Caenorhabditis elegans: one gene and its partners. The protein of the gene in region 1 interacts with the protein of each later gene in a pairwise test. Each region holds a gene or a part of one and is shown in the gene's direction. Other genes may lie near its edges.

Evidence for each region. The genes of interacting proteins can lie anywhere in the genome.
Region 2: the proteins of tfg-1 (region 1) and ehs-1 interact in a two-hybrid assay, tested with the Caenorhabditis elegans proteins (one large-scale study listed by BioGRID).
Region 3: the proteins of tfg-1 (region 1) and nos-3 interact in a two-hybrid assay, tested with the Caenorhabditis elegans proteins (one large-scale study listed by BioGRID).

What each region holds. Positions count from the first base shown.
Region 1 is NC_003279.8:14,098,256-14,106,164, forward strand, and holds tfg-1 (Protein tfg-1), read left to right. Parts: upstream 1-3,066; 5' UTR 3,067-3,110; intron 3,111-3,791; coding exon 3,792-3,972; intron 3,973-4,024; coding exon 4,025-4,170; intron 4,171-4,820; coding exon 4,821-5,954; 3' UTR 5,955-6,215; downstream 6,216-7,909. Other genes in the region: tdpt-1 (5'-tyrosyl-DNA phosphodiesterase), read right to left, coding at 1-46, 1,237-1,468, 1,602-1,696, 2,369-2,589, 2,639-2,713, 2,777-2,828; dnj-29 (J domain-containing protein), read right to left, coding at 6,539-6,664, 6,805-6,909.
Region 2 is NC_003280.10:5,817,748-5,825,228, forward strand, and holds ehs-1 (Eps15 (endocytosis protein) Homologous Sequence), read left to right. Parts: upstream 1-2,964; 5' UTR 2,965-2,972; coding exon 2,973-3,035; intron 3,036-3,082; coding exon 3,083-3,263; intron 3,264-3,346; coding exon 3,347-3,459; intron 3,460-3,505; coding exon 3,506-3,637; intron 3,638-3,751; coding exon 3,752-4,461; intron 4,462-4,514; coding exon 4,515-5,431; intron 5,432-5,529; coding exon 5,530-5,731; exon of another isoform or gene 5,732-5,778; coding exon 5,779-5,851; 3' UTR 5,852-6,115; downstream 6,116-7,481. Other genes in the region: ZK1248.4 (MSP domain-containing protein), read left to right, coding at 851-1,084; tbc-2 (PH domain-containing protein), read right to left, coding at 6,339-6,359, 6,410-6,552, 6,604-7,120, 7,169-7,481.
Region 3 is NC_003280.10:9,742,948-9,751,820, forward strand, and holds nos-3 (Nanos-type domain-containing protein), read left to right. Parts: upstream 1-3,368; 5' UTR 3,369-3,519; coding exon 3,520-3,556; intron 3,557-3,754; exon of another isoform or gene 3,755-3,769; coding exon 3,770-4,086; intron 4,087-4,231; coding exon 4,232-4,462; intron 4,463-4,597; coding exon 4,598-4,718; intron 4,719-4,762; coding exon 4,763-5,379; intron 5,380-5,477; coding exon 5,478-6,358; intron 6,359-6,405; coding exon 6,406-6,856; intron 6,857-6,901; coding exon 6,902-6,913; coding exon of another isoform or gene 6,914-6,923; 3' UTR 6,924-7,507; downstream 7,508-8,873. Other genes in the region: Y53C12B.1 (U3 small nucleolar RNA-associated protein 13 C-terminal domain-containing protein), read right to left, coding at 184-507, 568-1,234, 1,280-1,710, 2,014-2,821, 2,969-3,120; Y53C12B.7 (uncharacterized protein), read right to left, coding at 7,564-7,735, 8,206-8,279, 8,326-8,426.

The sequences.
Region 1 (7,909 bases):
GGCGGTGCTCACGTGTTGATTCGAGATGGGTGTTAAGTAGGAATACCTGCAAAAAACGAGAAAATTGGTTGAGGCTCAGGCTACAAACTACAAAAATTTGTTAAATTTGCCGAAAAGCGAATGATTTTAATAGAAATGTTCAGTTTTCTTTCAAAAAAATCAATTAAAACGAGGAAATTCTTCAGTTTTTTTTCGGGAAAGTGGTTGTGGCTCAGGTTACAAACTACAAACTCGGCTTAGCCTCACCAAACATTTCCGAAGCGAAATCTGATGAAAATACTCGAAATTTCCCTCATTTTTCTTCAAAAAAAGCTCCAAATTTTCAAAATTCTAGGGATTTCCCTCAAAAATCAGAAGAAAAACTGAAAGAATCAGGGTTTTAACCAGAATTCCGAAAAAAAAATTGGTTGAGGCTCAGGCTACAAACTACAAAATCGGCTTAGCCTCACCAAACATTTCCGGAGCGAAATCTGGTGAAAATACTCGAAATTTCCCACATTTTTTCTCAAAAAAGCTCAAATTTCCATAACATTTCATGTATTTCCGACAAAAATCATTGAAAAATTCAAAAAAATTACAAATAAAATTGATTGAAGCTCAGGCTACAAACTACACATTTGGTTAGCCTCACCAAAGTTTCAACGAATTTTTTTCGAACTCACACTACATACTGTGATTTTCAGCTAGAAATTGCAGAATTCTGATTGAAAAAAATCAATTATATCTCGAAAATCTTACAACAAAAAAGAGATTTTCAGGAAGACATAGGGATTTTCCGTAAAATTTGACCGAAAATTGATTTTAAAACCTGAAAATCTAGATTTTTTCAGTGGAAAATCCCATTTTCTGTAAAAATTTGAAGTTTTTTGCAAGAAAAACAAGAGGGAAAACATTTGAGGGGAAAAATTGGTTGAGGCCTACACTACAAACTACAAATGTGGTTAGCCTCAACCAATATACATTTTGCTCGATTTTAAGGTATTTTTTGCGGAAATTGATTGATTTTTACGGGAATTTTTATATTTTGTTTTGAAAAAATGGATTAAAATGCGAGAATTTTTCAAAAAATCTTTTTTTTCAGTAAAAAACTGAAAAATTCGATTATTGCGATAAAAATTGATTGAGGCTCAGGCTACAAATTACAAATTTGGGTAGCCTCAACCATCATTTTCACTCATTTTTAGCGGTTTTCCGGGATTTTTTCTTAAAATTTCGTCTATTTTCTGAAAAATTAACCTTCAAACCGCCAATAGATCCCTCCAAAATCTGCAAAGTTCTGTACATTCCAGAATTCTGAAAATGAATGACGTCATGCTTCTCGACGTCGAACATTTTCGACACAAGAATCGCCGTATAATATTGGCAGCCTTTGTTCGAATAATAGATTTTATACAGCGATTGAAGCTTATCAATCGGCGCCAAATCACGGTCGACGACTTCTTGGAGGAATAGGATGTCCGGATTGACGCTGAAATTTTTTTTTGGCGTTTCAGGTTGATTTTTGAAGATTTTTGACGGTTTTTAGTGATTTTTTTGCTGATTTTGCATCAAAATCAACTAAAAATTTGAAAATTCCGTGAAAAATCGCCGATTTTGCTCACTTTTTGACAATATGAGCCACTGCTTTCATTCTTGTGAGCAAGCTTCTCCCGTCGAGCCCATCAATGTTCCACGACATTACGCTGACTTCGAATCCCTGAAAAAATTTGAAATTTGTTGGAAAAATCGCGAAAAAAGTGAATTTTTTTTTGGTGAGGCTAAGCCGAGTTTGTAGTTTGTAGTCTTAGCCTCAACCAATTTTTTTTTCGGAATTCAGGTTAAAAGCGTGATTTTTTTCAGTTTTTCTAAAGATTTTCGAAGGAAATTCATGAAATTTTATGGAAATTTGAGCTTTTTTGAAGAAAAATGAGGGAAATTTCGAGTATTATGCTTCGGAAATGTTTGGTGAGGCTATACCGATTTTGTAGTTTGTAGTCTTAGCCTCAACCAATTTTTTTTCGGAATTCCGGTTGAAAGCGTGATTTTTTTTTAGTTTTTCTACTGATTTTTGAAGGAAATCTATGAAAATTTATGGAAATTTTAGTTTTTTTGATAAAAAATGAGGAAAATTTCAAGTATTTTCGCCAGATTTCGCTTTGGAAATTTTTGGTGAGGCTCGGCCGATTTTGTAGTTTGTAGCCTGAGCCTCAACCAATTTTTTTTTTCGGAATTCCGGTTGAAAAAGTGATTTTTTTCAAATTTTCAATGATTTCTGTGAAAAATCACTGAAATTTTACGGAAATTGCAGCATTTTTGAGGTTTTTTAACTCGAAAATCGATGTTTTTAGGTGGTTTGGCTTGATTTTGCTCCAAATATTCTTCTATTAACCTTCAAATCCTCTGCCGTCATCACCGCAGCTCCAGAGCTCGCCATAGACGATGAAGCGCCCATTACGGCCGCACTTCTGGCCTCTGCGAACGCCTCACTCCCGTAAAAAACGTCCAGAGCCTTCTTCAAATCCCAGTCTACATCCTGTAAAATCGACTGCGCAAAAGCCTCATCTGTGGCCGTGATTATTGCAAATTCATGCAGTTTTTGCTCGTCGCTCACTGAAAAATCGCGGATTTTCGCCTTAATTTATTGATTTTTCGGGTTTACTCGACGAATTTTTCAGTTTTCCTTGCTCCGGCTCATCTAGAATCTCGATTTCGACCTCGGAATCTTCTTGGGACACTGAAATATATTTTATTTGATTTAAAATTCAAATATTTTGAATTTCCAGCTGCAAAGCCTTACTTTTCTGTCGTTTAGCCTCAATTTCCTGTATTTCATCGTCAGAATTCGACATTTTTGAGCTGAAATTAGAGGATTTTATCATATTTTTTCAGAAAACGCGAAAAATCCACACGATAACTATTGAAATTCAAAAAATCGCGAAAAGAATAACTGAAAAGGCGGAGTCTAGCCGGGGGGCGTACCCTATTTGCAATCCTGGCACGCGTGTTGCAACTGCGGCGCACTTTTACCGAACGTGGAATTTTATATCGCGGATTTGGATCGTTTTTCTTCCCGTTATTTTCCCATTTTTCCTTGGTTTTCTTGCAGAAAATCCATAAAAATAGCAAGAAAAGTGAGTATTAGAGGTTAAAATCGATATTTTCACCATAAAAAAACCCCAGAAAACCGGCAAAAAACGATGAAAATCCGTGTGGAATTTTTTTAGACCTAGTTTCGCAATTTTTTCAATATTATCTTGAAGATTTTGATCTATTTTCGTGATCTTTACTTATTTTATGTGCCATATCCCGATTTTTATACCGAAAACCCGCGAAAATCTAGAGATTCCGATGGAATTGCTTTATTATATTACACGTGGAACTATTTTATTTCTTGATTTCTGCCGGTTTCTTGCTTTAAAATCTTAGAAAATAGCGTTTCAAGTGGGTTTTAGAGCCGAAAATTTAGATTTTCGATAGGAAAATCGCCTAAAAATCGATGAAACCATATTTTTGGCCTACTCCCGCTCTAATTTTGAAACTTTGATCTCGTTTAGGTCGAATTTCAACTAAAAAGTCGAATTTTCCTGTCAAAACACATGAAAATCCAAAATTTTCGTAAAAATATGAGCTCCGGATAAACTTGGGTGAGGCTGAGCCAATTTCGTAGTTTGTAGCCTGAGCCTCACCAAAATTCGGATTCTGTGTTTAATTCTTGATTTCTAGTTGATTTTCGCCGGTTTTTTTTTGCTTTTTTCTTTCTTTTTCTCCCGCAAAACCCAATTTTCCCTTTAAAAAACCCCCGTTTTTTCCAGATGGTGCATTCAAACGGAGCCATCACGAGCACAATTCTGAAGGCTCGTCACGCCGACGTCGTCCGCAAGACGTCACTTCACCACGCCAACGACTTGACACTCATCGATCTCGTGCTCAATGTGCAGCGGCTTTTGGCTCTCCCATCCGACGCGAATTTCGTGTTGAAGTACAAGGATGAAGGTAGGAATTGCACTGAAAATTGCGATTTTAATTCAATTTTTGTCAATTTTAGAAGGCGATTTGGTGACACTCGCCGAGGATAGCGACCTCCTGCTGGCTCTTCACACGTCTGGAGCCACGCTCGACGTGACCGTCGTTGTCGACTCGAGAGCTCGTGAGGCTGTGCACGATGTGCAGAAGCAAGTCGAGCAGATTAAGGTAAGGAGGATTTTGAGCGAAAAAAAACGATTTTTGAGCTGAAAAGCGCAATTTTGAGCGGGAAAATGCAAAATGTTGCAGAATTTTCATCGAAAATGCTGCATTTTTGAGCTTTTTAGACAAAAAAAAATCCGGAAAAACACTGAAAAATGTTGGTTGAGGCTAAGAAACAAGTGTAGTTTGTAGTGTGAGCCTCAACCAAACTAGCCAAAGCTTGAGTGAGGCTATGGTGATTTTGTAGTTTGTAGCTTTAGCCTCAACCAAATTAGCTAAAGCTTGAGTGAGGCTATGGTGATTTTGTAGTTTGTAGCTTTAGCCTCAACCAAATTAGCTAAAGCTTGAGTGAGGCTATGGTGATTTTGTAGTTTGTAGCTTTAGCCTCAACCAAATTAGCTAAAGCTTGAGTGAGGCTATGCAGCTTTTTTTTGTTTATAGTGTGAGCCTCAACCAATTTTGTTTTTAAAATTCACAAAATCTTTGGTTTTTCACTGAAAAATTGGAGAAATTTCAGCGTTTTCATTGATTTTTAAACAAAATTATCCAAATAATCGGTTTTTTTTTTCAATATTTTTAACACAAAATGGCTAAAAATTGGAATTTCTAGTACTACAGCTAGCGAAAAACGAATTTTAATTCAATTTTTCTTTCAGCTTGATGTTGGAAAGCTTCTTGGCGCTCTCAGTGCTCTCGACGTTGCCCAGATCGCCGAACAATCGAACACATCGGTGGCGAATCTCTCGGCTCCAAAACAATCTCACCACGACAATATTGTGTTCCAAAAGAGCTTCGAAGCGGCTCCACCATCGCCAGTGCCTTCCGAGAAGGCCGAGCTCCCGGCGACGATCCAACCGTCGGTTCACGAGCAATTCAATCATCGCCCGGCGCACGTTGAGGAGGAGATTCCGTTGGAGAATCACTATGCTCCACCACCACATCAGCAAATTCCCGATGATCTGAACACTAGCTTCAGCTCCCAGCCACCGCCACCAATTGAGCAATTCGGAGCGATTCCGCCACCGAACGCGACGATCCCGTCGTTCCCAACGTCGAATGCGGCGAGCCCACCAGTTCAGGAGTTTGCTCCACCGCCTCCACAGCAGCAGCAGCAACAATTCCAGGCTCCACCACCACCGATGGCGTCGCACTCTTCGATCTCGTCGACTCCAGTGCAGCAGCAAGGATTTGCTCCACCGCAGCAGTTTGGCGGGCCACCACCGTCTGGACCACCATCAGAGTATGGAGGATATGCTCCACCACAGCAGCAGCAGCAGCAATTCGGAGCCCCACCACCGCAGGGAGCTCCCCAGCAAGGATTTGGAGCACCGCCACAAGGGCCACCACAGGGAGGACCACCACAAGGATCCTTCGGAGCTCCACCACCCCAGCAATTCCATGCTCCATCACCACAATCGTTCGGAGGGCCACCGCCGCCAGTATCAAGTGCTCCAGGAAACTTTGCCCCTCCACCACAATCGGGACCACCGGGCGCTTTTGCTCCACCACCATCCGCCTTCGGAGCACCACAGGGGCCGGGAGGCCCAGGAGGCTACGGTCCACCACCGCCAGGAGGCCCAGGAGCCCCAGGATCGTACGGACCACCACAAGGAGGCCCAGGAGGATTCGGACCACCACCTCCAGGAGGCCCAGGAGCCTACGGACCACCGCCAACCGGATTCCCACCAGTCGGAGCACCGCCACCGGGAGCCGCCGGAGCCCCGGGAGGAAATCCATTCGCACGAGGACCATCTGCCACGGGATACCGCCAGTCGCCGTATCAGCAGTAATTAATCGATAATTTATTGATGTTTTCTTCTTTGTTTGTTTGATTCCCATAATTTAAATATTTTATGTTTTCCCCCGTCCTTCCCCCCTAGTGTACAAGTTTCCTTTTCTACTCGCTCGCCCCTGTTTCCTTGTGATATAGCGCTGGAGCGCCTTTTCTCTTTTCCACGTGGAATTCACATCAATTCTTGTCGTCTTCTCTCTCTCTTTCTCCTTTTTTTAGTGGTATATAATATTTATGATATGAATTTAAAAAATCTCGGGCTCCTGTCTCTGAAATTCTTTTTAATTGAAGCATAGAAAAAAGGGTCTAAATTTCATGTAACTATGTAGAGGAAACATTTTCAAAAGTGATGTGATTGGTGGGAAGGGAATAGAAATAATAATGCATAGGGAACACGAAAACATACAAATTTTTTTAAATAAAATATTTAATTTAATTACTTTTAGAAGAACAGAAAACCCAGTAGAGAAATTGATTGAAATTTTTTTGGAGAAAAGTGCGGGAGAACAATGGGGGGCCACTGAAGAAAAATTGAAAAATAAATTAACGAATAATTTGGAGAGCAATTGTTGGAGCATTTCGCTACTCTTCATCCGAGTCATCGTCTTCTGTATAATCATCGTCCGACGACACTTCGACGGCTTCATCGTCCTCATCCACGTAGTCGTCGTGCTTGATTTCGACGAATTTCGCCTCTTTCACGTCGATCTGCAATAATTTTGAATTTATTGTTGAGAAATTTGCTGCTTTTTGTGTCGAAAATGGATTTTTTGAGGAGAAATTCGCCTGAAAATATAATTTTTTACAATTTTTCGCATTAAAATCCGTCATTTTCAATCAAAAATCACCTTAAAATCAACACTATACTCCGCATCCATATAGGAATCCGATTTGACCGACAAATTGTACGTGTAGATTCCTTTGTGTGGTGGAGCCGCGAATCGAATGTCAATCTGAAAGAAATCAATAGGAATTTAGTGGGAAATGGAGTTTTTAGTGCAAAAATATGCCATTTTTTGGGGCGAAAACTTCAAATTTTGGCATAGTTTTGCCAAAAAAATCGTCAAAAACGTAGGAAAAAATTGTGGTTGAGGCAGATTCTGTAGTTTGTAGCCTGAGCCTTACCTAACGAAAAATACAATTTTTTTCTTTTTTATCTGTAATTAAGGAAGGAAACAACAAATTGTTTAGAAAAATTGATCGTTTTTAGCATTTTTTTTCTAAAAAAAATCCATAAAAATTTCAGAAAATCCCGATTTTTAACCGAAAAAGCATTAGAAATATTGGTTGAGGCTCAGACTACAAACTACAACTCCCATTAGCCTCACCCAAATTGGTTGAGGCTAAACCGATTTTGTAGTTTGTAGTGTAAGCCTCACCGAGATTTAGTGGGTTTTAAATCGATTTTTCAACTAGAAAATGCTGATTTTAGGATAAAATCCTTCAAATTTATAGGTTTTCAACGCTAAAATTCGAATTTTCCTTCAAATTTCCAAGAAAAATACTCAAAAATCGACATTTTCCGTGTCAAAGTCCTTCAGAAAATCCCGATTTTCAACCGAAAAAGCATTAGAAATATTGGTTGAGGCTCAGACTACAAACTACAACTCCCATTAGCCTCACCCAAATTGGTTGAGGCTAAACCGATTTTGTAGTTTGTAGTGTAAGCCTCACCGAGATTTAGTGGGTTTTAAATCGATTTTTCAACTAGAAAATGCTGATTTTAGGATAAAATCCTTCAAATTTATAGGTTTTCAACGCTAAAATTCGAATTTTCCTTCAAATTTCCAAATTTTCAAATTTCCAAGAAAAATACTCAAAAATCGACATTTTCCGTGTCAAAGTCCTTCAGAAAATCCCGATTTTCAACCGAAAAAGCATTAGAAATATTGGTTGAGGCTCAGACTACAAACTACAACTCTCATTAGCCTCAACCAAATTTGGTTGAGGCTA
Region 2 (7,481 bases), on another chromosome or scaffold:
ACACTGCCTGGTGGTGATCCCTCTAATTTAACAAACCATATTTCCATCTGTATACACGCAAGACTATTTTTCGAATTCCTCATAACTTTGGAAAATTGCCCAATTTTTGACAAAACCTAGTTTGATACCGTTTAAACCAGGAAAAATACATACTTTTACAATATTTCATCAGCTATTTTTTTACGTTTTTAAGTGTAAATTATTCAAAAAAAGACTAGTTTTCTGAAGTTTAAACAAGTTCCTGATGATAATAAGTCAGTGTAAAACTACCAAATATTGCAAGAATAATAGGGATTTCAGACACCTTTTCAACTGAAGTGTGATTTAAAGAAGGAGTTAAGTGCCAATTCGCAGAATTGGAGGAACTTTTTTTTATTTTCGGCTGATTTGCTAATTTGCGAAAACGTTGGAAATATTTTTTTTATAGCAAGACACTGAATGGTGTGTATTCTTGAAATTTTTTCCTGTTTTCTTCAGATATTTTTAATCAAATTTACTCATTTTTATATCAATTCGAGAAACCTAGAATATGTCCAGTTTTCAAGTTCAAATCCAAATCTCATTCAAATCTCAAAAATTTCAACAAAAATTTTAAAAAACAAAGTTTGCCAAAAGTTTGAAGTTTCAGCAATAGCAGAATTTCCGTTTGCCAAAAAATATAGTACTATGTATAATTTTCTGAAATTCTAGAAATTCCGCCCAGTCGGGGCGCAACGGAAAACTGGACAATTTACATTGTAAGGGGTCATAAATTAATGAAAATTTCTAAAAACGATTAATTTTATTTTTATTTTCAAAAATATGATAAAATGTAAAAGTTCATTAAAAACGTCAAGACCAAACCACCAACATGAAGAGACTTGGAGTTGATCCACCATGTGGAGTTCTCGACCCAAAGGAAGCTGTGCTGTTGGCTGTTTCGTGTGATGCATTCGCATTTGGACAGGAAGACACCAACAACGACCGTATCACCGTCGAATGGACTAACACTCCGGATGGAGCTGCCAAGCAGTTCCGCCGCGAGTGGTTCCAGGGAGATGGTATGGTTCGCCGCAAGAATCTGCCAATCGAATACAACCCATAGGTTCCTTGTAAAATAAATATTGTTTAATGCCTGTGTTGTTTCTTTCTGTAAATTGAATATATATACACTTGTCGCTTATCCTCTAGATCAGCTGGCTTCGTCGCTTCGTTGTTTCTACAGATATTTCTTGCAAGAATCTTCCGATCGAATACAACCCATAGAACTTCTAAATAATTTTTTTCCTGATTCACTGGTTGCTGATTTTATAATTTGAAAAATAATATTGTCTACCATGTTTCCAAATTTCAAAATATGATATTGTGATATACGAACTTTCTTTGAATACTTTGTTACAGAACTTCCTCGCATGTATCATTTTGAGAAGAAGTTGTATGTTCGAGAGCCGTTTCTAGAGAACTAACAGAACGAATTTTTTAGATTTCAGAATTATCAACAAGATCATATGCAATGCCTTGAATTCATAGATAAGAGATGATGAAAGATGGAGCTGACTGCATTTGAAAGAACTTTCATTTTATCTATCTAACAATCTAACAATTATTAATAAACAATTATTCATTTTCATTGTTGTGTTTATCATTCGATTACTCGGAAAACATTTTTATTGCTCAAAATATATATTTTTCTAGCTAACTGGAGTAGTTTCAAAATTGCCATTCGGTTCAGGATAGGCGGTTTCAGGCTTACTTTTGTTTAATTAGTCCCAGGTCTTCGAAACTCAATGTTTTATTGTGTCCTGTGTTTCCCTTGATTTTCACTAAATTAATTCTGGGGACATGAGAAGGTAATCTTGGAAAATTGAAATAAACTACAGTACTCCTCAAAGACACGATTTTAAATTCAAAAAAATCAGTCGTGTCGAGACCCGGTACCGTATTTTGGGTGTTAAAATCGGAAAATTTCGCCAATGGGGATACGATAATTTGAGTTTTATATTCAAATTAGATGTATGATATAGGAAAACATTCCACTAACGGGTGTATTTGATTTATTTTGCTTGTATTTACAAATAATATATTTCGAATGCTCGCCTGTTTCTTGATATTGTCCTCGTGTTGTTCACGGCCGAAGTTTTTCACAATTATCAATAGAGCGCTTCTGAAAACTCGTCCGCGACAGTGAAAATTTTAATTTTCAGAATTAATTGTTTTTAATTTAACGATTTTAATTAATTCTCTCATTTACTGTTGCAAGATTTTTTAATGCTATCTGTTGAATATTTAATTTTATCACTATTTTCAATAATTACGATGTAGACGCTTTATTTGCAATATATATTGCAAACAATATTACAATATATATTGCAAACAATATTGCATTATACGCAGATTATTTTCTCCCGTTTTGACAGAATAAAATTAACTTGACAATGTGTGTGTAAACACAGTGACGACAAACTGCGACAATGAGTCATTCAGGTTTAGTCTTTTGCGAATTAGTTTATTTATAATAATTATATATTATAGGGTTATTGGGATATTTTTTTATCTCACCGTTAATGAAAAATGTTAAATATATTCCTGTTTCAAAAATTGGCTACAATTTAAATCAATATATTTGTTTTGTAATCATTATCATAGAGGGCCGGGACTCTTCCCACTGAAACTCAATACTTTTGCATATTTCACATTCTCTTCCTCCGTTGGTTCACCAAAAGAGAAAAGGGACCGACATGAAAAGGAAACGAAAGCTTAAAAGAGACGGAAAATCGATGTACTAGAGTGCTCGGAAGTAGTTGAGAGGCGCAGAGAGAGAGCTTTCATTCAGAAGACACACGACGTTATTCCTCGCAACGCCTTCTTCTTTTTAACAATCTTCAATACATTTTAGTGAACTTTCTTTTATTTCTGTTTCATTTAAAAATAGTCTTAAATTTCACTATATTTAATTTTTTTCTTTTATTATCTGGAATGTTTCAGCTTTCAACATGGATGATTCATACGCGATAGCTACACCGCACAATGATGTTTTTAATCACGCATTCGCAGAGGTAAATATTTAACAATTTGTAATACGTTAACAATTGTTATATTCCAGATGAACCCTCACGGAGCACCAAGAATAGGAGCTGCAGAAGCAGCTACTTTCCTTAAAAAATCAAACTTGGCGATGCCTGTGTTAGGCCAGATATGGGAGCTTAGCGACTCTCAAAAAGTTGGATCATTAGATAAGAGAGGAGCATTTGTTGCTTTTAAACTAGTCGCAGCTGCTCAACAAGGTAACTTTTATTACCTATTTGGAATCATATTTTGTTGAAAATACGATATGCTCAAAAGTAACCTTAACAGCAAAATATTTCAGGGAAGCCCGTCGCCAATTCTTCCCTCTACGATTCTTCCCTTCAGCCACCACGGTTTGCACCACCTGTACCACCAGCAAACATGCAGCATCATTTCCAACCATCGTTCCCATCGGTTTGACTGAAAAGTGGTTCCTCTATTTCTAAGTGTTATTATTCAGGTTGGCCGTGCTCCTCCAGTGCCACCACCACCACATCCATCACATCCTTATTCGATCTCTTCTCAACAATCTTCTCCAGCTCATCCATCGTCAGCTTTTCCACCACAATGGCCGATAACACCAACTGACCAGGTAGCAAAAACTGAGAATTAAAAACTTTTAAAAAATCTTTCTATTGGCACGAATAGAGAATTGACAGTTATTTTCCTTTACAGATTTGATCAAATATTCTTGTAATTATTTCAGGCTAAATATGACTCCATCTTCCAATCATTGAATCCTGTAAACGGAAAATTGTCTGGTGCACACGTACGCCCGGTTCTGATGAACTCTGGACTTGATGCTCATGCTCTGGCTCGAATTTGGGAACTTTCGGATCAGGACAAAGATGGAAACCTTGATCGAATCGAAATGTCTGTTGCACTTCATCTTGTATACCGATCACTTCAATCAGACCCGGTTCCTGCACAGCTCCCACCAAATCTCATTCATCCTTCGAAAGCAATGTATGCTCACAGCTCACCGAATTTCGCTGCTCCTCCACATCCTCCACGTCCGATGATGGGATCGAGAGCAGGATCTGTGACGTCATTGGATGATGTGAACATGAGTCAATCGTATTCTGCAACGATGCCACGTGCATATCCACCACAACCAGGTCGTGCTTACTCTGCACAGGCTCATGTGAATGGATCACGAACCAGTGGTGCATCAACTCCGATATCTGCTTCTCACTCGATTCACTCATTTCCTGCTGGTGAATGGCCTATCAATACAGGAGATTATGCTGATCAATTTGCTCAAACTGATACGAATAAGGATGGATTGGTTGATGGCATGGATATGAGAGCTCCCATGATGACTACTGGATTGAGTGCACAGATATTAGCACATGTCTGGGCATTAGCAGATATAAAAAAATGTGGACAGTTGAATTTGGAGCAATTTGCTTTGACGTAAGTCTTTCAAGTTTACCAAATATCTAGTGTAACTAAATATTAATTTTCAGAATGCATCTTCTTGACATGGCAAAACGAGGCGAGTCCATCCCATCAGAACTGCCTTTACATCTGATTCCACCTTCATTCCGCCCACCTACGGAACCTTCAGCTTTGCATCATCCTGCTCAATCAGTTTCAACTCCACAGCTCCCAGAAGCAACTTCGATGGAAATTAAAGAAGCTTTGGAAGGCGAAAACGAAGAGATGAAGCAGCTCGCAGAGTCTATTCAATCAATGCTGGTGGAGCGGAAAACTGCAGAAGAAGCTGTTTTACAACTAGAAGCTGATATGACTATTAAGAACTCGAGTATCAAAAATCTGCAGGTTGAATTGGCCACCTTGGAGTCGACAGTTAAACAGTTGGAGCGACAAAAAGGTGAAGCCACACGAAGATTAGCTGATTATGATACTCAAATAGAACAGTTAGAATCAGCATGTAAAGCACAGAAAGAAACGAAAGAAGATACCGAGAAACGAATGCAACAAATTGATGAAGATGCAAAGAATGCTGAGGACTGTAAAGCAAATGATGAAAAAGAAATGGAAGAATTGAAAAAAGAAATTGAAATGCTCGATAATCAATTCAAAACTGTTCGTGGAGAAATTGTCAAAGAAACATCACAAAGAGAGCAAAAGGTGGCCGAATTGACAACTCTAGAACGAAAAGAAGCAAGAGATCAGATACAAATGGAAAAGCTGGATGCTGCAATCGAGAACACGACAAAACTAACAGAACAAGTATCAGATGCAGTCGAAAAATCCGAGGAGGAAATGGTTCAAATTCTGAGGTCGCAACAACGATTATTGTCTACTGTAATCGATCAATCGTTGCTATCCGATGACACTGTTTATGGAGAAACAGCTGGAACATCATCTCAAAATCATGTTCAACAACCACCTGATCCGTTTGCATCCGCCAGAGCAAGTAGGTTTATATTTTTAAGAAACAAAAAGAGTTATGAAAACTTTTATTCTGACTTAAAGTTTTGAAATATGAATATATAACATAAATTCAATTTCCAGATCCTGCTGCTGATCCATTCGCCCAAGTAGATCAGTTCGGCTCATCTGGACATTTTGATGCCGCTTTCCCAACTGATCCATTTGCTCAAGGAGGCTTCCCATCGGATTCTGGCTTCGCACAATCGGCTCCCGCAAAACCTGCTCCACCTCGCCCAGCTCCTCCAAAATCTGCTCGCGAAACACCTGTCAATGATCCTTTTGCGTAAGTCTTAGTGAGTATCAATTTATTTAAAGTCTAAATAATTTCAGCCCATCACAAGGACAATCAACTCAACCGGCTGGATTCGCTGATTTTGCGGACTTTGGATCGGCTTTCAATTGATTTTTAATAATTATACCTTACCCACTATAAGCCCCAACGCCAGTCAAATTGTTTTACTTTGCCCAAATGTTTACCTGTGCCAAGTCATCGACATAATTTATTGATGCACATTTTTAAGATTAGTTTTTTTGCACTTTCCCACTTGAATTGTCACTTTTCTAGGTTATGAAATCAGAGCAATAATGTTATATACTGTAGAATATGAATATGCATGATTATTATGTAAATTATGAGTTATAATATATAGTAAATGATTTGCAGATTAATTTTATGTTGCGTATTTGATATTTTCAGTCTCATGTGTAAAAACGGAGCACAAGTAAACGGGTTGAAGGGGGGGAAGTAAACCGTAAAAGAAATTGATAAGGAAAAAGGAGAATCACAGAAGTTTGAAAATAATAGTGAAAAAGTTGTGTGAAGAAGACATAATTATGCTAGAAATCGAAAGAAAATACAGATTAGATGTACAAGAATGTTCGTGTCGGATTTACATACAGTGGCCAGTATCCTGAAAATAATAATCGCTATATTAGAATTTATTTATATATTACTGTTTACCTTCAATTGTGTCAAATAGAGTTGTCGTTTAGTTTCTATAGTCTTCTGAGGGAACGGATTCAGTTCGTTGAATGCCACTTGAGCTAGCGACTTGAAGTCAATGATATGTTCTTGAGCTTTGCTGAGACATTGATGAACTGTGCCTGAAAATTCTTGTTAAAAAACTAATAAATTTAAAGTTGTAAGTCACAAACCAATAGTTTTACATTGAAGAACGTGAGGTTCGCATATTTTGAAAAGTGCCAGTGCGAATCGAAAAAGAACCTTATTTCCTTCATAGAGGAATGCATCGAATATAGTCAGATAAATAGAATGCGGGAGTACATCTACAAAACACGTCAGGAACCAACTGAGCGCGAAAAGTGAAAGATCAACTTCAAGAGCTCTCAAATGTGCAGCCAATTTTGGAAGCTTTTCTGCTACAAGATCGCGGAGAACTTTCTGATCGGCAACCGCTCCGATCAGTGAGCTAGTGTAATATCCTTCAGGTTGGAGATGTTCCACACATGCTACAAGGAACCAGAACGAATCCTGCTCATCCAGGTTTAACAGAGCAATTGCAGCAAGACGATTGAGTCCTTGGCAGTAGCCGACGTGAGAGTTATGGTATCGGAAGGCGTAGAGTACGTTTCGTAGTTTTTCTATGTTAGCAGAATCTGGCTCGTCGAAAAGTTTATTCGTGGGCAGAGTTCGAGCGAGGTCAAGATCAATCTGAAAAAATAATATGAGAAACTCGAATTTAGAATAATATAAATATACCTGTTTGATGGCTGCATCGTAACTTCCATCCTGCTTCTTTGTTCCAGCCTTTCTGAGCATACTTTGATAGTATCCATTACCCAATTCTGCTTGCTTATCCTTCACCCAATGTGTCACAATTATCTTCCATACACGACCTCTGTAGGCAGGTGGTACTCCAGTTCGAATAAGAGTTTTTAGATCAGGTGAAGACATGATTGCAGTCTGCCGGGATACTGTATTGTTGACAAGGAACGCATCCCACGATTGTAACCATTTCATGTATTCTTCAGATTGTTCCAATTTCGTTGCTTCCACTACGTCTCCCGCTTTT
Region 3 (8,873 bases), on another chromosome or scaffold:
ATAAACGAATTAAGTTAGGCTGAGCGAAAAGGAGAAAAGGAAACAAATTTTATAAAAATTATTGAGCTATAACAAAAAAAAAACAACAAATAACTTTAAAAATAAAAAAGATAACTATAGAGATCCGATGAGCTTGAAAATTCAACAAAAACCAACAACAATAACAAAAAAAGTTTTAACGTTTCAGACAGAGCTTCTCATTTGTCTCCAAACAAAATCGAATAGGCTAACATCTTGCTTTGCCCGATCCAATCGATCCATGTGCCGTTGGGTGTACGGTAGGAATGATTCAATATATCCATATGCACCGGGCATTGACACTAACTCCTCTGGATCCACGATATGAACAATTTCGTACAAAACTCGTTGTGCAACTGACGATGTTCGACTATTCGTGTTCCATTTCACTGTGAATTGCAGTAGAATCTCAATTTGACGGGTGTCAAGGCGGCGAATTGCGGAACCGAGTTCTTCTGGTGTCTCCTCAGCCATCAGAGCATTTATAACCTGGAAAGAAAGTTTAAAATGGATAATTCAAAACTCATTTAATAGAATTTAACTAATCACCTTAAAAGCACAAAACGGTTTGGCTAGAGTCAGTGCAAACACGAGAGCTTCCGAATATCTCTTCTGACTCAATAAATTTGTCAAAGTCTGATCTTGTTCAATAGCCTCTCTTCTCTTATTATCCTCGGCTTTTTGTTTCTCCTCTGTAACATCCTTCCAGACAACAATCCGCCCATCAGTTCCAGCAGTCACAAACTCTGACTCGTTATGATTTTTCGAAAGCGACCAAATTTTGTCAGTATGCGCATCAATGGAACATTCACAATCAGCAGTTTTGATTGTCCAAATCTTGATGATTCCAGCACTGTCTGCAGAGATCAACTGAGAATCGTTGCGAGCGAATATCACTCGGAATACAGCACAAGAATGTCCGGAAATGGTTTGAAGACAAGATTTTTCCGAGATGTTCCAGATTTTAATGGTCATATCTCCACTGCAAGATGCAAGTTTGTGAGAATTCTTTGCAAATTTAACATCTCCAACTCCACGACGATGTCCTGATAGAGTTCCAGCGATTCCCAATTGCATTTTGTGAGTATCCACTTGCCATAATTTTACTAGTTTATCCATTCCTCCAGTGGCAATAAGAGCATCCGATTCGGAAATATCAACACAATTCACATCTTTTCCATGTGCAACCATTGTTGAACTGCATGTCAGTTTTGGGCTGGAAAGTGAATTATTTTCGCAATAAAAATGTTTTCAAACTTACAGCTGTTCGACAAAATCTTTTTCTGCATCAATTTTGACTTCTTTTAGTTTTGTAGAAACTCCCAATCCCCACAATTTGATAGTACAATCCGTTGATACTGATGCCAGGAAAGGAGCTCGTCCGGTATTGGAAATCGCTAGAGCAGTTACTGTATTTGCATGTCCTGTAGCTGCCGCAACTGGGACCAGAGTGGAGCAAGAGTCATTTTCAGGAGATGTTACAAGTCTCCAAAAGATAATCGAATTATCTTTAGAACATGATGCCAGTAGAGATGTGTCCCAGGTAGGAGATACTACGGAAAGAACTGATTCTGTGTGACCACGAATTAATTGACAATCCAGGGTTTTAGTGTTGTAGAGTCGGATTTCAGAAGTATTGGAAGCGACAGCCATGTGAGATTCATCTTTTCCAAGAAGACAGCACGAATAGATCTGAAGATAGGGAATAATAATTAAGAAGGTTCTTAAATCCAATTATTACTATTCGTAGAAATATTACTTGGCAATTTGAGAGCATATTAAAAGTGGTAATATTCAAAGAAAAAATTATTAAAAAAATGATAAAATCAAATATTTTCGTTTTTCGGTGTTTTTTTACGAATTTTGTATAAAAGATTTACATTCGAAAAATTATACATTAAAGCAACTTGATATGACAAAAATGATATCAACAAATGGTTTTCAATTCCAATTTGCAATCATTGTTTTTCTTTCAAGGTCAACTATAAAACTCACTTCGTCATGGAATCCAACAATTTGTCTTGCAATTTTCAGATTTTCAAAATCCAAAATTATAAGATTTTGTTCGGCGGAAATTGCCAAAAAGCGATTAGAAACAACATCGTAGGCCAAGTGATCGAGATTCGAGCTGGCAATCCTTTTCTTTCTGACCAACTTCGCAGTTTCAATCACAAATTCCTTAACAACACCCTCTTCTCCAACAGTGAAAAGATTTCCGTTATGTCCGATTGCTCCGCCTTCAATTGATTCGTAGAGTGGAAGAACTCGGAGTGTTTCTTGAGTTTCTGTTTCATGAATACTCATCGTCTGATCTCGCGAAAGAGCCACAACAACTCGTGAATCCGGAACTTGAAGCAGTGCGGTAATATGAGAATTATGACTTTTCCATGTGTTTACAAGTTTTTTCGGAGCACCTCTCATTATATTATAGAGGTTCAATTGTCCTTCAATGTATCCAACGACAAGCTTTTCATGTTTTCCGAACAGAATTGCTGAAACTACCGAGGGTCCTTTTAATGTGTGTGTACATTGTTGCTCTGTCAGATTCCAGACTTTCACGATGTGATCGGCACTTCCAGTCGCCAGTAAATGGCCCTCCTCATTGAATTCCATAACGAGAATAGGAGCAGTGTGTATGGTTTTCCATGTTCTGGCCAACTCTGGTTTAGTTGTCGACGGATCCAAAGGAATTGAGTATTCACGAATTATTTGATTGTTATAGGCGACCAAAAGGCGATTTCTGTTCTTGTCGACAGCTGTGCACGTAATGCGTAGCTCATCTTCAGGGTCGCCGATGGTATAGCTGCAAAAGATTTGATGCATTTCAAATTTAATTTATTTTATTAAACTTCAAAATTATTCATATTCAATTTTTCAAATAATCATAATCAATCTACTTCTAGTTTTGTGGGTGAAACTTGTTTTAAAGTTCTGTCGCAACATCACATACCTTGCAGTATTGTCAGCCAGATCAATCACTTTCACAACATTTGTGCATGTAGAAAAAAGTTTCTGACCATTTGCACTCCATCTGACAGTTCCTCCGGTGTAAACTGCTTCGACACTTCTTTTCGCGGCAATTTCCTTGATAGGTTCAGTCATTTCACCTTAAAATGTTTTAGTAACGCAGTTATTTGAGGGATCAAGAGTTAAAAATAAGAATAACATAATTTAAACTGTAAAGGTTGATGAAAAGAATAGAAAATAGGTGAAATTTACTTAAAATCTATCAAATGATCTAAAAAAACGACTCCGTAAATCGACACTAATGCCGAAACAAGTGTCACCGTACTTATTCGCTGCGAGACCCACTTCCCGTTTAATTCTACGCGCCTTTAAGTGCCCACCCATTTCGGCATTTTATCGATGAATTTATTAGCGTTCGCCGACGCTTTTTATAGATTTCTAACCTTTTTGTTCTCTTATTACCTTGCCGCCTTCAAATAAGAGTTATCTTAAACTAGTAACATTATCATTTTGCAATATAAACTCTGGAAAAATATGCAATTATTACATTTCTACACACAAAGTGTTCCGAGTATGTTTTTTTCTGTTATTTCCACTCAACTGAGAACTAAAAACTAGTTTTACCAAAATCACATGTTCCTTTTTCAATTTCTCATTTTCTTTGATACTCTTTGCCAATTGAGCTCCTTATTTTTGAAAACATAGATTCCGATAAAATTTTGCTGATTCTCTTTTTCTAAACATATTGCATATTTTAAAACACTTCGATAGTCAACATTTACAGTCAACGTTCACTTGGTAATGTCTGGACAGCAGTTCCAGCAACATTCACAGCAGCAACAACAACGTGCCCCAACCGTCTATAATAATAACAACAAGAAAAACGGCGGCAGCGCTGCAAACTCAAACCAAAACAACAACAACCCCCATCATACCTCAACGACTGATTCGGTGCCGAACTCGACTGCCAACGTGTCGTCAGCAATTTCGTTTGAGTATTCAGAGCCGCCAGGAAACACCACTAGGACAACACCAGATTCTGGGCTAGGGACTGACGACCAAAAGGGCACACCTCAACAGACACGTGCTCCGCCAGGATTTGTAAGTAGGAAACTATTGAAAATCCTATCGAAAAAAGATAAGTCAGAAAAAGAACACTTTTGAGGTGCGCAAGGTTTTAAGAGAATTGAGAGATTTTTCAAATCAGTGAAATATCAAACATGTAATTTATCTCATTCATTTTCAGCATCGAGCAGCTTATCATCGGAACAGCGGTCAACAGCAATTCTCTCAAATGCGCCCACAGCCGCCACATACTGGACCACCAAATGGTATGACATATTACGGAGGAACCGTCGGCGCGCCCGGCTATCAGCAACAACAACCACCACCACAAGAAGGATATGATCAACAGCAGCAGTTTGGAGGTGGATCCGATGGTGGACAATACCAAAGAGGACCACCAGGAGGCTATCGGGTATGGAGAATTACGGGCTCCTCAATTATTTCTAGCTCATAATAATTTTTTAATGAGCGTTATGATTTGGAAATTATATCTACAGGAAAATAATGAGAAGAGTTGATAGACATTTTGCAAATTCTTTATTTTCAGCAGTATCAACAAATGGAAAGCGGTGGTCCGCCAAGTGGATACGCGGATGACAACAACGGTGGAAACAATAATTTTGTCATTCATGGCCCCAACGATAATTTCGATGGTCGGCCACAATATAGTTGGTGCAAACTTACTGTGTTCTGTTCAAAAGCATAATTTTAGATCCTCAAGCAGGGCCACCACCACAAAATCAGCAGCAAATGATGAACAGTGGCAACTATGAAATTGATCAGTACCGTGGACAAGGACCTCCTCCAGGAAATACCTATCAACAGCAGGGACATAGTGGACAAGCTCAATATTATGCTGGACCAGTAATCCAGCAACGGCCACCACCGCCACACAATGCTCAATCTTATGGACAGTATAGGGGTCCACAAGGCCCGCAAGGCCAAATTATTCAAATGATGCCTCACAATCCACAGAATCAACAGCAGCAGCAACAACATCCAATGCTGTATCCAATGGTGTATGTTCCTGTGCCAGCACCACGAGTGTTCCGGCAAGAGCCAGCTGGTGGAGCTAGCAGTTTGGAAAAAGACGGAGGAAATGCTCGCAAAAGTAAACGAAACAGTCAAAATGAGGACGATGGTCAGCAACATCAACATCAGAATGAACAACAACCTCAACAAGGCTACCATCAACAGGATTTTGTATCGAACCCACTCTGGAATCAGATGCCTGTCGGTTACGCTCCACCAGGAAACTTCACGCAGCCTCAGCAACAACATCAACAAATGGATCAACAACAAGCCGTCCAAATGCAACATCAGATGCAGGTACAACTTTAAAAAAATTAGGGGAAGATTTTATATTATATTTTGACAATTTCACAGAGTTACACTTTTTTTAAAAAGAACAAACAACAATTCCTCAGATGTTTCAGCAAATGCAACCATACGGAATGCCACAAGGAGGCCCACCACCACCTCATGCTGCTGCTTCTATGATGAATCATCCCCATCAGCAAAATCATCCTCATATGAATGCACAAATGACCCAACAACAGCATCCAGGACAATATCTACCGCAACAATATATGCAAATGGTTCCGCCGCCTCACCATCAAATGCAACAAATGCAACAGCAAGGTAGACGTCCAGGAGGTGTTGAGCCGCTCATGGGAGGCCCGCCGTATCAAATGAGTGGACAAATTAATCAAATGGGAGGACCAATACGTGGAGGTTTTGGAATGCAACAGCAACAGCCGATGGGCTACTTCAATTCTGGAAGAGGTGGAAATGCTGGATCAGGAAGAGGAAGAGGTGGTTCACGAGGTCACGGATACCAACATTCTCGTCAAAATTCTAATCAAAGCTACAATTCTTCTCAAAGTTATCCACAAAATCGAGGAAATTTTGATTCATCAAGTCAATATCAATCCGACAGTCAACAAGTGGATGAATCAGTTACACAGCTTACCAATAGAATTGAACATCTTCAACCAGTTAGCTCACGTGCAGGATCACCAAGTAAACAGATCCTTCAGTTAGTCGAATCGAAAGATGATCAAACTTCGACTGAAAATTCTGAATCACCAAGTCGGTCAAGCACTCCTAAACATCGGAAGAAGACCCCAAAGAAAGATTTTAAAGTTGATCAAGAAGCATCTATCGAAGCGACAAAAACTGAAATAAGCGAGGAAAATCCGAAAACGGATGATATTCAGTCTAAAGATGATGTTACTTCGAAATCTGAACTACACTGTTATCGATGTGAACATTACCAGTTGCCTGCTGAAGAAGTGTCTTCCCATAAGTAAGATTAAAAATTCTAATTTATAAAAATTAAAAATTTAATTTCAGTATTCGCAAGGATAATGGTGATTTGTGGTGTGAGCATATGAAAAAGATCAAATGCGGGCATTGTGAGGCGACTGGAGAACAAGGTCATCACCCTCTAATTTGTCCAAAAAAGAAAGAAGAAGAACGTGTGGCAAAATCTCGAGAGTCTTCGCAGAAGCCGATCGATCCGCAGGAAATAAGTGATGATCAGGATGATACTGTACCGGATGTTCCCGATCAAATAGTCGAACAAGACAATCAGTCACATAAATCTCGTCACAATTCAGAAAATCGCAGTGGCGGTAGAGGATACGGTCAGAACTATAGCCATAGTTATGGCGGAAATTCTACTGGTAGCTATCGTGGACGATCGTCTGGAGGAAGTGGAGGCAGTGGACGTGGTGGTGGTCGTGGAGGTTACTCACGTGGACATGGTGGAGGATCAGGAGGAGGACAACGTGGAAACTATCAGGTTTGTATTTTAATAAATTGAAAAAAAAAACTAATTCCCATCAAGTTTCCAGAATAAACGTAAGTAAAATCGTTGGATTTTGATTGGCACCGATGTCCAACGACAACAAAAACTTCCTCCGATTTTCAAGAATCTTTCAAATATCCCGCTCGCCCAAACAAAATTCACTTCGATCTCTATTCATTCCATCCCATGCTAATACCACCATCCCACCGAATTCCAACTGCGAAAGCTTTAAAAGAAACCCCCTCATGTCTATCCCGATTTGTTGTTGAAACGTTTTGTTGTTTTTCTTTTCTTTTTTGTTGTTTTTTTTGCTAAAGAATTCCCCCAATCCTACAAGGATTCCGTAACTCGAGTTCCATCCTTTGGTCTGTTCGAATTCAATTCGTCATCCCTTTTCTGTCATGATTTTGTTGAAAATTGAAATTTTTGGCAGAAAATCCTGATTTTTTAAAATTGTGTCACCGTTCTTTCTTTCTTATACTATCTCCCTTCTCCCCCACTTTCTAAAGTATCTCTATAATCCCGCCCGTTTTCCTCTTTTTCTCTATCCCCTTTCTCTTCCCCATCAAACAATGCATAATACTGATGATGTTGGTTCGAAAAACGATCTTCAAATATTTATGTTTCCGATAAATCTCAAAATTCAAACAGAAGTGTCCCGTATTGTTGTTGTTGATCAATTAGAGAAAACAAGAACATCTTCATCCACTCCATCCACTTCGCCTTCTCCGTTTTTTAGCGATGCCACCGATTTCCTTGGCCCATTTGAGGATTTTGTGTTCACGCGCCAACGCTTTCAGCTTCTGATGATGTGACGAAGATTCTGCAGACGTGGCAAAGTGTTCGTGGTAAGGCAGCAATGGAATTGGAACACTGAAATCCACTTTTATTAATATTTTTCATCACCAAGACGTGAAGTTTTTCAATTTTTGTGCAAAAAATACAGCACCAGGTCTCGTCACGACAATTGTTTGTAAAATACATGCGGGTGGGCGCCTTTAAAGGTTACTGTATTCTCAAAACTTCGGTACTGTGAAATTTTAATTGTTTTCCAACAGTTTTTCTTACGATTTGCTAAAATTTACTTATTCTATTTTAGTGTTTAATAATAAATAAATAAGTTTTAAATAAAAAACTAGGAAAAATCGATGAAAACTCCGCGCAGCAACTAAAGTTTGAAACTACAGTAACCTTTAAAGACGCACACATGTTTGTATTTCACAAAGAAAAAGCGTGTTGAGACCGAGTACCGTAGTTTTGGAGCGGAAATCGCAAAAACTCGCGTATGGGTAGTAATTTCCTTTTTTCTTAATTTTTAAAATCATCTCCAATTTTAAACTCACCCATTATCGTCTATAAAAGCATGGTGTTGACGTGTTTTTATCGGTTGGCCCCGGAATGAGCCAATAAAATGAGCCTGAAATTTTCAAAAATTTAACTGAAAATCTTAGTCAAAAACTAACCGATCTCATTCCAACGTCGGCGTCGGAAGTTCGAAAATCGGGAATACTCGTTCGAATATCTTTTCCATTTACTCTATCAAGTAGACTGAATGAGCATATTTCTGAAATGAAACGTTTTTTGTAATGAAAACTTTATTTTCACTCTTCAATTTAATTATTTTAAAAGTAATTTTTATTCAAACTTTACAGGAGACCGAACCTGCGGAAATTCTCGAAATATCTCAAAAAGTCTAAGTTTTTTTTATTGAAAAACTTGGCAGTTCACCAATTTTTTCTGGAAAATGTGGTTTTTAGGTTTTCTTAACATCTAAGGAAATACATTTGTAGCTCAAACAAATCGAAAATCGAATTTTGTTTGATTTTTGATCCGAACAATTTTTTCTCCCGACTCGGAAAGTGCGATATTCATTCTGATATCATATTATCTAATTTGTTCTCTAATAACTTGTTTTCATAACATTTTAATACTCGTTTTAGAGGTCACGTTTACTATCAATGAACCACTAAAAAGTCAAATTAAGTCAACTACTTGCCAGACGCGGCGAGAA